2 linked regions of the Drosophila melanogaster genome follow. The protein of the gene in region 1 interacts with the protein of each later gene in a pairwise test. Each region holds a gene or a part of one and is shown on either strand. Other genes may lie near its edges. The genes, in order: CG7785 and Golgin104.

Region 1 (4,473 bases):
AAAAAGTGCACATGAGTAGCAGAAAACATACCCAAGCCAATACCTTACGAAGGCGAAGGATAAACGAGGAACTCCACAACAGTCATCTTCTTGCCAAAGTCTTCGACCAGTCTCTCCATGATGCGAGTCCCTAGCCCGGAACCAGAACCTCCGCCGATTGCTCGAAAGACCAGGAAACCCCTGAGATTTCTGCAACGATCCGCCACGCGACGAATGGCGTTCATGGAGCGATCCAACAGCTCGCTGGCCATCAGATTGTAGCCCCTGGCGAAGTTACTGCCACTGTCATCCTTGCCCGTGATCAAAGTATCCGGATGAAAGAGGTTGCGGTAGGAGCCGGTACGGATTTCATCTGGAAAGGAAGATAAAAAATTTATATGACACAATCCAAGCTTCTGGCGGAAACTTACCTATCACTGTGGGCTCCGTGTCGATCATGACGAGTCGAGGTTGCACACACGGCTGATGGCTGGTGAACTCAAAGAACGTGAGGAACGAGTCGTCCATGGGCGACTGGGTTAGTCTTCCATTGGCCAAAATGCCGTGCTCCAGACAGAAGAGCTCCCAACAGGCGTTGGCTATCTGCACACCGGCCTGGCCAATGTGGATCTGGATGATCTCCCCCTTTCCGGACATGTGTCATATCTTAATTTTAACCATTAATTTCCTTTCTCTGGGAATGTAGTTTTCCAAAATGTTCTAAAATCAAATCGAATTGACAATCTAAACAAGGAAAACTTGCTACACAACGGATTAAGTACATAACATTGATTTATTGTCCGCGCGCGGATTAATCAGTTTTCGAAGCGTTGGATACGTGTAGATACAATTTATTAGATATACAGATATATTCTTATATTTAGTTAGGTAATTCCGTGCTCGAGTACGTTGCCGTTGTAAATTGGAATGTGTACGATGAAGTCAGAATTGAATTGTGGCCACCTAGTCCTACAAAAAAATTCATCTGTATCTGTATGCAGATACGCGTATCTCTGTGTATAATACAAATGCTACGTCAAGCTACGTAAATAATTTACAAAACATTAATAAAATTATACAAATACTTTCGGTTTGGATAGTGCAAGGACTAGAGAGTTTACAAAGTTTATACACCTGATGTCTAAATGAGAACAGAACAGTGCATTTTACGACTATAAGTAAATATGTGGTGAAAATCAACAAAATCGATTAAGATATGTGTACAAAGTAAATTGAAATAATTTAATAGCTGTTTTGGTTGTGAGATAGAATTCAGCTTGGGAACTTTTCTTTTTGACTAGAGAAGAAATATGGCAAAGGAATAACTAAAACTAAAACTAAAATGTGTAAATAATTTGTTTTATACTGAAAGTTCGCATTTTAAAACTTAATCTAGAATGCATATTTAAAATGTCATTCTTGTAACTTAACTTTTACATTAAATAAATAAAGTGTTACTAGACAATAATGTATTTCATTTTTTTTAAAGGTAGTTGTCCGCATTGGCAGAGAAAGTGCCACAAAAATTACTTGAATGAAATGCGTTCCTAAAGTCCTAAAATGCACCGTCTTTTAGTTATTCTTGTTAATGCTTTGTTCTCATGCTGCTAATTTGTTCAAGGCTTTTGTGTGGACTATCTAAAGAAGTGACTGTTCCAATAGAATGCGTTCGAATCCTGGTGGTGGTCCGTGTGAAAAATTATCCAAGATAATGTCCAGAATGGCGCCATTGCCCACTAAAAAAATTAGGTTAATTATGGTGATAAGCTTCTCTTAAGAGTACGAAAACTCACCATAAATGACGGGAAATAGTGCTGCTCCTCGTACATTTCGAAATGGAACCTCCAGATTCTTTCCATTGAAGTAGAAATTCAGCTCCACGTGGTCAAAGGCGACGCCCACAATGTCTCCTTCATCGGGAAAATCTCGCTGTGGCGATGCTATCAACGAATCACCGATATCCACATCGGATGATGCCACTCCAGTGGTCATCAGCAGATCTTCCTGCTGCAAATCCTCGATGGCAATGAGTCCGGCCGCTTTGGCAGCGCTATTGTTCAGGATACCATTGCTCGTCCTCGCTGGCTGAGTGGTGCAAGCAGACTGCACCACTGGTCGGAACTCCTCGCGGTCATTGTGGCGTGTGGCATTATCGGAGCACAGGCACCAGGACTCTCGATCCCCGCCGCCGCTCTTGCGACTGAGATCCGTTTGACGCGTTGCCAAGCCCACCGACCAGCTGCCGCCGTGCTGGATCTTCACCTCGAAGTAGGACTTCGATTGGACCAAAGGCGCCGTGGCCAGGACGCCGCCAGTGCCCGTTACGCGCAGTTGGTGTGACAGCAGGATTACATCAGGTCCTGCCAAATGGATGATATGATATACATATTATTAGTAAGATACAAGATGGTTAAGCCTGTTGAATGAGAATATAAGCACTTCTATTGTATGTACATATATATTAATATCTGATCACGTATCTGAATTGTGCGATAAAATTGGGAATGTTGATATCTTTATTGGGGTATCACTTATTATCGAAGCTACATATCTTTTGGAAAAACACATTAGTTCTCTCGCAATCGCTTCAGTTGACCATTTTAAGGATAGTGTATCTTAATCCTTCTGAATTTAGTGTAATTTTACCCATATGCGCTGCATCCAGGTGAACATCGGGCTCCCGCAGGCGACTGGTTGCCGTCGGTTTCCTTATGTGTCCACCATTGAGACAGGTGCGTAGGCAGCAGAACATTCCCAAATCTATGAAGGTTTTCCGACTCCGAATCTAGTTTTAATTTGGATTTTTAAAAATCGCCAATAATTTTCGCTTCTTCGCTTGGTTTTGTTTTTGTAAACAGCTGTGCTCTTTTTCCAGCTGATGGTCATACTGAATTTGCATTTTCTGGTATATGTGATAATAATGGGTAGAAGAGTGACGGATAGGTGGCGCTATAAATGAATAATTAGATGCAACCAAATGCAATTGACACATTTGTAAATAATTTATACATGTTTGTTGATATTTCAATGTTTTTTTTTTTTGGCAAATAGTTTAGCAACAGCTATAGAATTAAGAAAAGTTTAAGTACGAGCGCCACCTAGTTTTCAATGCGCTTTTTAGTACCTAAAATGTACGACAAGAGTGCGTTGAAGAAATGGCGCTAGCGAGTGTCCGGAAAAGAGCAGAAAGAAAAAGAAAAGAAGTTGCACGGCGCCTTAAATTTAAAATTTAAATTATTATATATTATCTATAACAAATGCAAATAAGTTCTTTGTATAAATAATACCTCTTTTCAACATCTTTCAATTTTCTTATGCATTAAATGTAATGCAAAAATGGTGTTTATTTAATTGTTGACGCAACTTTACAAATAGTCTTAGTTAGTTCAGATTCTATTCCTGTTGGGCGCACTTGTCGTAGTTGGTGACCAGTTGGCGGTACAGATTGGATACCCTGGCGCTCTTGTGGCACACGGTTCCACCACCACGATGCAACTGACCTTCTTGCCGGTTGATGTCGCCCACACAAATCCAATCTCCGCCGCCAACTCGCCAATGGTAGATCAAAATGCCTGTGGGACGAGATACCGCCCACTTGGAGTGATCTTGTGTGGTCTTAAAGTCCACCGATAGCTCCGGATTGGAAATGGATTCCACATTGAGAACCTTATCGGACTTATCGCAGCTATTCGGTAAGTTGCCGGCACCGTCGCGCCACGCCTCCACAAAAAGACTGACATCCAGAGTGGGTGCGACCACATCGGCGTACAGCTCCACATTGGCGCGTCCACTCTTGCCAAACAGCCGGAACTTCTTGCCGTCCAAGCTGCGCACCTCCAAGTCCTTCTGGAACGGTGATTCCGTCCGCCACTGACCATGCAGAGCCCTTTCCAGGCTCGGGAACAGCTCATCGGAGCGAGTGGCCAGCGGGTTGCGTTGATAGTAGAAGTGCGGTTCATTGTACACCAGAATCTGACCAACCTTCTCCAAATCCTCGCCCTTCAGTGTGACGCAGAGCATGCTCTGTGCGTACTGCTCGCCGGATGTGGGATAGCTGTAGTCCGGAATTGTTGGAAATTTGGGCACCGAGTGGACAATCCAAATAGCCGTCTCCCCATCACTGGCCACCACTCCTTTGGCATGACCACCGCTGCTGAAAACCGTGCCATTCGGCTGTTGATCGTTGTAGGCGGCCAGCAGAGTGTGGCTGGGATCGTCGTTCAAGGGGTTAAGGGTCTGGGCAGGCAGCGATAGGGGATCACTAATGAACTTTCCCGACATCTGCCAGGTGTCATAGTTCTGGCTGGTCACGTACAGGTACTTCAAGCCACTGGTGTCCTTGCCCAAATCGTTGTGCTGGTAGTGCTTGGGCAGTTTGTAAAGGTGCCACCTAAAATTATAAAGGAATATTTGAAAAAAAATTATTAAATAAATTAAAAACATGTTTATCTCATCGAGAAAACCCCTCAATCTTTGGAAATTTGTTTTTAAGAT
Region 2 (5,836 bases), on another chromosome or scaffold:
TGGAGGAGTTTGTAAAACTTAGGGCCGCTCATCCCACCCAAAGCGTAATGATCATCAAGATGGATGTGGCGAACAAGAAGGGTGTGGAAGCCACCTATGAGGAGATAGCCAAGACCTTCGGTAACATCGATATTGTGGTCAATGTAGCCGGGATTTTTAACGACAAGGATGTGCAGAGGACTCTGTTGGTAAATCTCGGTGGAATCATCAATTCCACACTGAGTGCATTGCCCTACATGGGCAAGGATAATGGCGGCAAGGGTGGCATTGTGGTTAACATGAGCTCGGTGGTGGGTCTGGATCCAATGTTCATCATTCCCGTTTACGGAGCCACCAAGGCTGGCATCATCAACTTCACCCGGTGCTTGGCGGTAACAAGAATTTCTTACATATCTTTTGAATTAGGTTTTTCATTTAAGTCTCTTTCTTAATTAGAACGAAAAGTACTATCAACGCTCGGGCATCAAGTTTGTGACTGTTTGTCCTGGAGCTACAATGACGGACATGTTCACCAACTTTACGGAGAAGATCATCTTCCCGGAAACGAGTGACGAGACCTATAGGATCCTGGATAGGCTAAACAAGCAGAGTGCCGCTGATGTCTCTCGATGCATTCTGAATGTCCTGGAGAAGGACAAGAACGGAGCTGTCTATGTCATCGAGGGTAAGCGCGTTTACCCTTTGGAAATTAAGCCCCAGTGGACGGGCAAGGAACAGGCCCTTTAAGTGGGTTAATTCGTTCACATCCTAAACACATGCATTTTACAAATATGAAGTTATTATGGACACTAGTTATTTAATAAACAAACGATGCACAGAAATAAGTTCTTGTGGTGATTAGTCATCCCGCCAGCTGACCAGCACTTCGTCCGTTCGAAATCGCTGAGTCACATAAGATTCCTCAAAGGGCATCCTAGTGCCAGAGCGGAACATTTCTGCACCAGCATGGGCAATCATTAGTCCGTTGTCTATGCAGTAACGTTCATCAGTGGCAAAGAGTTTGCCTCCGCGTTCCTCGCACATAATACGCATCATCTCCTGGAGTCGCTCATTGCAACCCACACCTCCAACTATAAGGACCTGAAAAGAAGTCGGTTAACTCATAGATTAATTTCGGAAAACTGTTGCAACCAACCTCATTTGAGCCGCAGTGTGCCATGGCGCGCTCTGTGATCTCCACCAACATGGCGAAGATGGTCTCCTGCAGCGAATAGCAAAGATCGGCTTGGCTGTAATTATTGACCTCTTCTTCCTGTGGCTTTTTTCTCTTATTTTGCCTCTTGCCCGGCTCTGCCAGGTCCTCGATGTAGGATAAAATCCCCGAGAAGCTGACATCCATGCCCTTAACCACATAGGGCAGTTTAATATAACGATTGCTCGACTTGGCCAGCTGCTCGATGTTGTAGCCCGGACTAGGATCGTTGGACAGCTTAATGATGCGGGCGAATCGATCCAGGCAATTGCCCACTGCAATGTCTATAGTTTCGCCAAAGATGCGATATCGCTTATTGGAGTAGGCAATAACCTGTGTGTTTCCACCGCTCACATAGAGAACTGTAGGATTCTGGGCACCGGTGATCAGGCGACCCATCTCGATGTGTCCAATGCAGTGATTTACGCCCAGCAGCGGGATATTCCACAAGAGCGACAAAGTGCGAGCCACAATGGCGCCAACCAGCAAAGGAGGAGCCATTCCTGGGCCTTTTGTGTAACAAATAACATCTAGATCAGAGGATTTCAATTGGGCTTCCTTTAGACTGGATTCCACCAAGCCCAGGATGGCTTCCCTGTGATGTTTGGCCGTTTCCTTGGGCAGGAAACCTGTTGAATGATTGGTTATGATTAAATCTGTACTAGCCGGCGGGTTAGAATGTGGCAATACCTTCTCCTGGTGGGGTAATGTACGTTCTACGTACGTTCGCCAGTACTTTACCATCTCGAATTATGCCAATGCCAATTTTATTGGCACTGCCTTCAATACCCAAAGCGCAAACCATGTTTAAAATTCTAACAAATTAAGCAAATTGCAATGTAAACAAACATTAGTGTTACCCTTCGCGCCGAGTGGCAGCAATGGTCATACTGCTCAAGGAGGGCTGCCAACTTTTCCAAACTAACAGCTGGTTGCAAATATCAAACTTTTGTTGTATAGCAAAAGTACGCGAAATTCATTGTAAAATTTAAATAGATGATCAAATAACCGATCCGATAATGGAATCAGCGCAGGCAACACCGCCGGCTGAGATGGAAAATCCGGCCAGCGTGGAAAATGGTGATTCTGGCCGGGATTCTAACCACATAGAGGGGAAAGCAATTGGAGACGTGGATATGAAAGCGGATTCCATTGAACAGCAGCTGGAAGAAAGCGATGTGAAAACTGAGTCTAATGGAGATCAGCTTACAGACCAGGATGAGGGAAAAATAGAGCAGGATCTCAAGGCAGCCGTACTGGAGCAGGTGCCAATCGAAGAGGAAGGACTAAGTCTGCGATTCAAGGATCTGCAGGCCCAGGAAAAGGTGAAGGAACTGCAGCAAACCCCTTCGCAACCCCCACAGAACGACATCCTATCCCATGTCCACTGCTTGGCCCAGCTTGAGGAGCAGCGGCGCAACTACGAACAGCAGTTGGAACAACTTCGTACGTCCAATGTCCAGAAGGATAATATGATCACGCTCATTCAGCGGGAGAACGCCATTCTGGGCAAGGAGAAGCAGGCCTGCCGCAAGGAAATGGAAATGGCCAACAAGGAGAAGGAAGCCACCGTCATTAAGTTCGCCATGAAGGAGAAGCTACTTATCGACGCCAAGAAGGAGAAGGAGGCGGTGGAGAAGCAGCTGGCCGAGGCCAAAAAGGAAGTAAAGAATGTGTCCACCAGATTCCTGGCTGTGAGCGAAGAAAAGTCCCGCATGACGTACATCATCGATGAAAAGGTGGGTGGGAATACTTTGCTGCTTCTATAATTCAACGAAAGATTGACTATCAAATAATTGCTTAATTGGCAATAAAACTAATTCTTCTATGAGTTATACAAGCTCCAATTCCGAATTTTGTGCAGATAACAAATCTCTTATCATAACATTTATCTTTTCCTTATCAGTGCAATGAAGTCAGAAAATATCAGAGGGAGTGCGAAAAGTACAAAACAGAAATGGGTCACTTGGAATCCAAGCTCAAGTATCACATAAACAAACTGAACATCGAAACAGAAGCCAAAGCGGTACGCAATGATTACCTAAGCTTATATTTGATCTTCACTGAACTTGGTTCCCATTTTAGGTTGTAGAACGCAAACTGGAAGAGGAAAAGAATGCGCCCAATAAACTGGAGGAAAAGGCAAATGGTTCGATTATTTTTTCAATGATATATGTTTAACTGGTCTTACCATTCGCTTTTTATACACAGAGAAACTTAAAATGGAATTTGAAGCCAACACAATACTCTTGAAACACGAGATTACCAGCAAGACTGAGGCTCTGGATAAGCTCACCAAAGAGCAGCAAAAACTAAGCGCAGCCAACAAAGAACTGCAGAACCAGCTTCAGGAGATCACCACGGAGGTAAATCAAGTTTTGGAATATATCTTATCTTTTTTAACTATTTTAAAATTTTCTTGTGCAGCATAATCAGCTGACAGAGGAGTATAATCGTTTGCGAGAGCTGCACAATTCCGTAGAAGGTTCATACAGTGATGAGCTGCTTAACTCCGCAAAGCTCAGGGGGCAACTGGAGGAACTGCAGCTTCTGCGTACTCAGAACACAATGTAAGTTTAAGGAAATGTATACATTAGAGGCAGAATATATCCATACAATCCCATTTATGTTTAAATGATAATTTTCTTTGTAGAAACGAAGAAAAACTGATGGACCAACAGAAACGAGTCCAGAAACTGGAGGCTTTGGTCCAAGACAACGAAACGGACCTGGAGCAACTGAAAGTCAAAAGGCAGGAGCTACTCACAATTAACAAGGAGATGAGTGAGCTAATCGTGCAGCTGCAGAATGATATTTGCCTGGCCAAAGCAAAGGTGAGTACAAGTAAAAATAAACCAAAAAATGTACATGCCCCGGGTGAGGCTCGAACTCACGACCTTAAGATTATGAGACTTACGCGCTGCCAACTGCGCCACCGAGGCTTTGAATGGCTAGCAATTCTAAGCAGTTGAGATAAATGCCGGTATCAGATGCATCCTAAACCATACCATGTTCAAGGATCTGATGTTATTTCCTTTATTTTGGCAGGCGCAGGGACTTGATGCTGAGAACAAGTTACTGAAGCAGGAAAAGCTCACCTACGACACCAAGTATAATCAACTGGAGCAGCAACTAAGTTTGGAGGCATCGGAGAAAAACGAGGAGCGACTGTTGCTGGCCAAGCATTTGTCCGAAAAGACGAAGATGTACGAACTGACCAAGCAGAAGCTGGAGGATGTTCAGGGTGACTTTGAGGCTACCCAGCACAAGCATGCCACCGTGCTGAAAGAGCTCCATCGCGAGCTGAACAAGTACAAAAGGGGAATTACGGAACCGAAGACACCAATCAGCTACTGCAGCAACTGTCAGCAGGCGATCAATGGGTATCCAACGGAGAATCCTCAACAACGGAGTCATAGTCGCTCCAGTAGCCACGGCAGCATGCACAGCGGCAGTCGACGGGCCAGCGAGTCTTCCGAATCGGAAACGGTGGCCAGTAGTGCCACCACCGTGCAACAGCCGCCACCGCAGCAAGATCTCCAGGCGGTACCGTCCAAAAAAGTCCTCGTAGAGCGAATTCTGCGACTGCAGCAGGCCACTGCCCGCCAAACCGAACGGATCGAGTTCCTGGAGAACCACACGGCCGCTCTGGTGGCCGAGGTGCAGAAGAAATCCAAGGTGGTGCAGCACTACATGCTCAGGGATCAGACTGCCGGCGCATTAACCACATCGCGGAGCGATCAGAACAAAAGCGAGTTGGTCAAGTACGGAAATGGTATCATGGCAGCCATCTATGGTGGTGGATCATCGAAGACGGGAGGCGAGAATAAAGCCATGTCCCTCGAACTTTCTCTAGAGATTAACAAGAAACTGCAAGCTGTGCTCGAGGATACGCTCTTGAAGAATATTACGCTGAAAGAGAACCTCGATGTGTTGGGACTCGAAGTGGATAATCTCACGAGGAAATTGCGCTCCCTGGAGGGCAGTTGCAAGTAAATGCCAGTCTTCTTATTCCATAGTATTCCATTCCAGAGTCTAACCCGCGTGTAGATAGTGTACAAATCAAATGTTCGTATGTTTAAGTGTATAATATATGTATTTAATATTTCAACAACGTCCCCAGGCTTATAATAATCCTTCGTAAAGCTTGGCGCTCACGGGTTTCGGCTGGCCCACACCAAGGGCAAAGTTAACAGTTGGCTTTTCTCCATCCTTGGCTAATCTGGCCATTTTGTTGTCGGTCAGTTTGTAGTGGACCTTCATCTGGGGATTGGGGTTGCCCGTTTCCTCCGATACCAGTTCGCGGAGCAGAGGCGGAAGTTCAATCTTGGTGGGCAGTATCACTGGTTCAACCTTCTTCTTGTTGTTCAGATACTTTGCTTCCTGATCCTGCGGCACCAGTTCGTAGTCCGCCTTATAGCTGGTGCTGTAGATTTCCACAGGCTTTGGCTGCGTTACGCCGCGCCACGTTTTCTCCACAGTGACCCGCACCTTGCGGATCTCGCCGGGCTGCTCGTCCACGGACTGCACCTTCAGAATCCGCATGTAGCAGGGCTCCGGATATCGCTGGAACATGTTACGTATTAGCAGACGGCCCACACCCCAGTTGGGCAGGTTTGAGACCAGCTCCCACAGCGTGTTGCC

What was found.
Region 2: the proteins of CG7785 (region 1) and Golgin104 interact in a two-hybrid assay, tested with the Drosophila melanogaster proteins (one large-scale study listed by BioGRID).

The regions. Positions count from the first base shown.
Region 1 is NT_033777.3:18,019,972-18,024,444, reverse strand, and holds CG7785 (uncharacterized protein), read right to left. Parts: upstream 2,846-4,473; 5' UTR 2,732-2,845; coding exon 2,626-2,731; intron 2,340-2,625; coding exon 1,773-2,339; intron 1,716-1,772; coding exon 1,618-1,715; 3' UTR 756-1,617; downstream 1-755. Other genes in the region: CG7794 (uncharacterized protein), read right to left, coding at 49-352, 411-636; DNaseII (deoxyribonuclease II), read right to left, coding at 3,373-4,369.
Region 2 is NT_037436.4:16,348,215-16,354,050, reverse strand, and holds Golgin104 (golgin 104), read left to right. Parts: upstream 1-2,099; 5' UTR 2,100-2,211; coding exon 2,212-2,931; intron 2,932-3,098; coding exon 3,099-3,218; intron 3,219-3,277; coding exon 3,278-3,341; intron 3,342-3,403; coding exon 3,404-3,558; intron 3,559-3,619; coding exon 3,620-3,762; intron 3,763-3,845; coding exon 3,846-4,026; intron 4,027-4,061; exon of another isoform or gene 4,062-4,134; intron 4,135-4,240; coding exon 4,241-5,188; 3' UTR 5,189-5,304; downstream 5,305-5,836. Other genes in the region: Pdh (photoreceptor dehydrogenase), read left to right, coding at 1-371, 436-726; Tcs3 (Threonyl-carbamoyl synthesis 3), read right to left, coding at 838-1,080, 1,136-1,821, 1,883-1,997; mRpS34 (mitochondrial ribosomal protein S34), read right to left, coding at 5,318-5,836.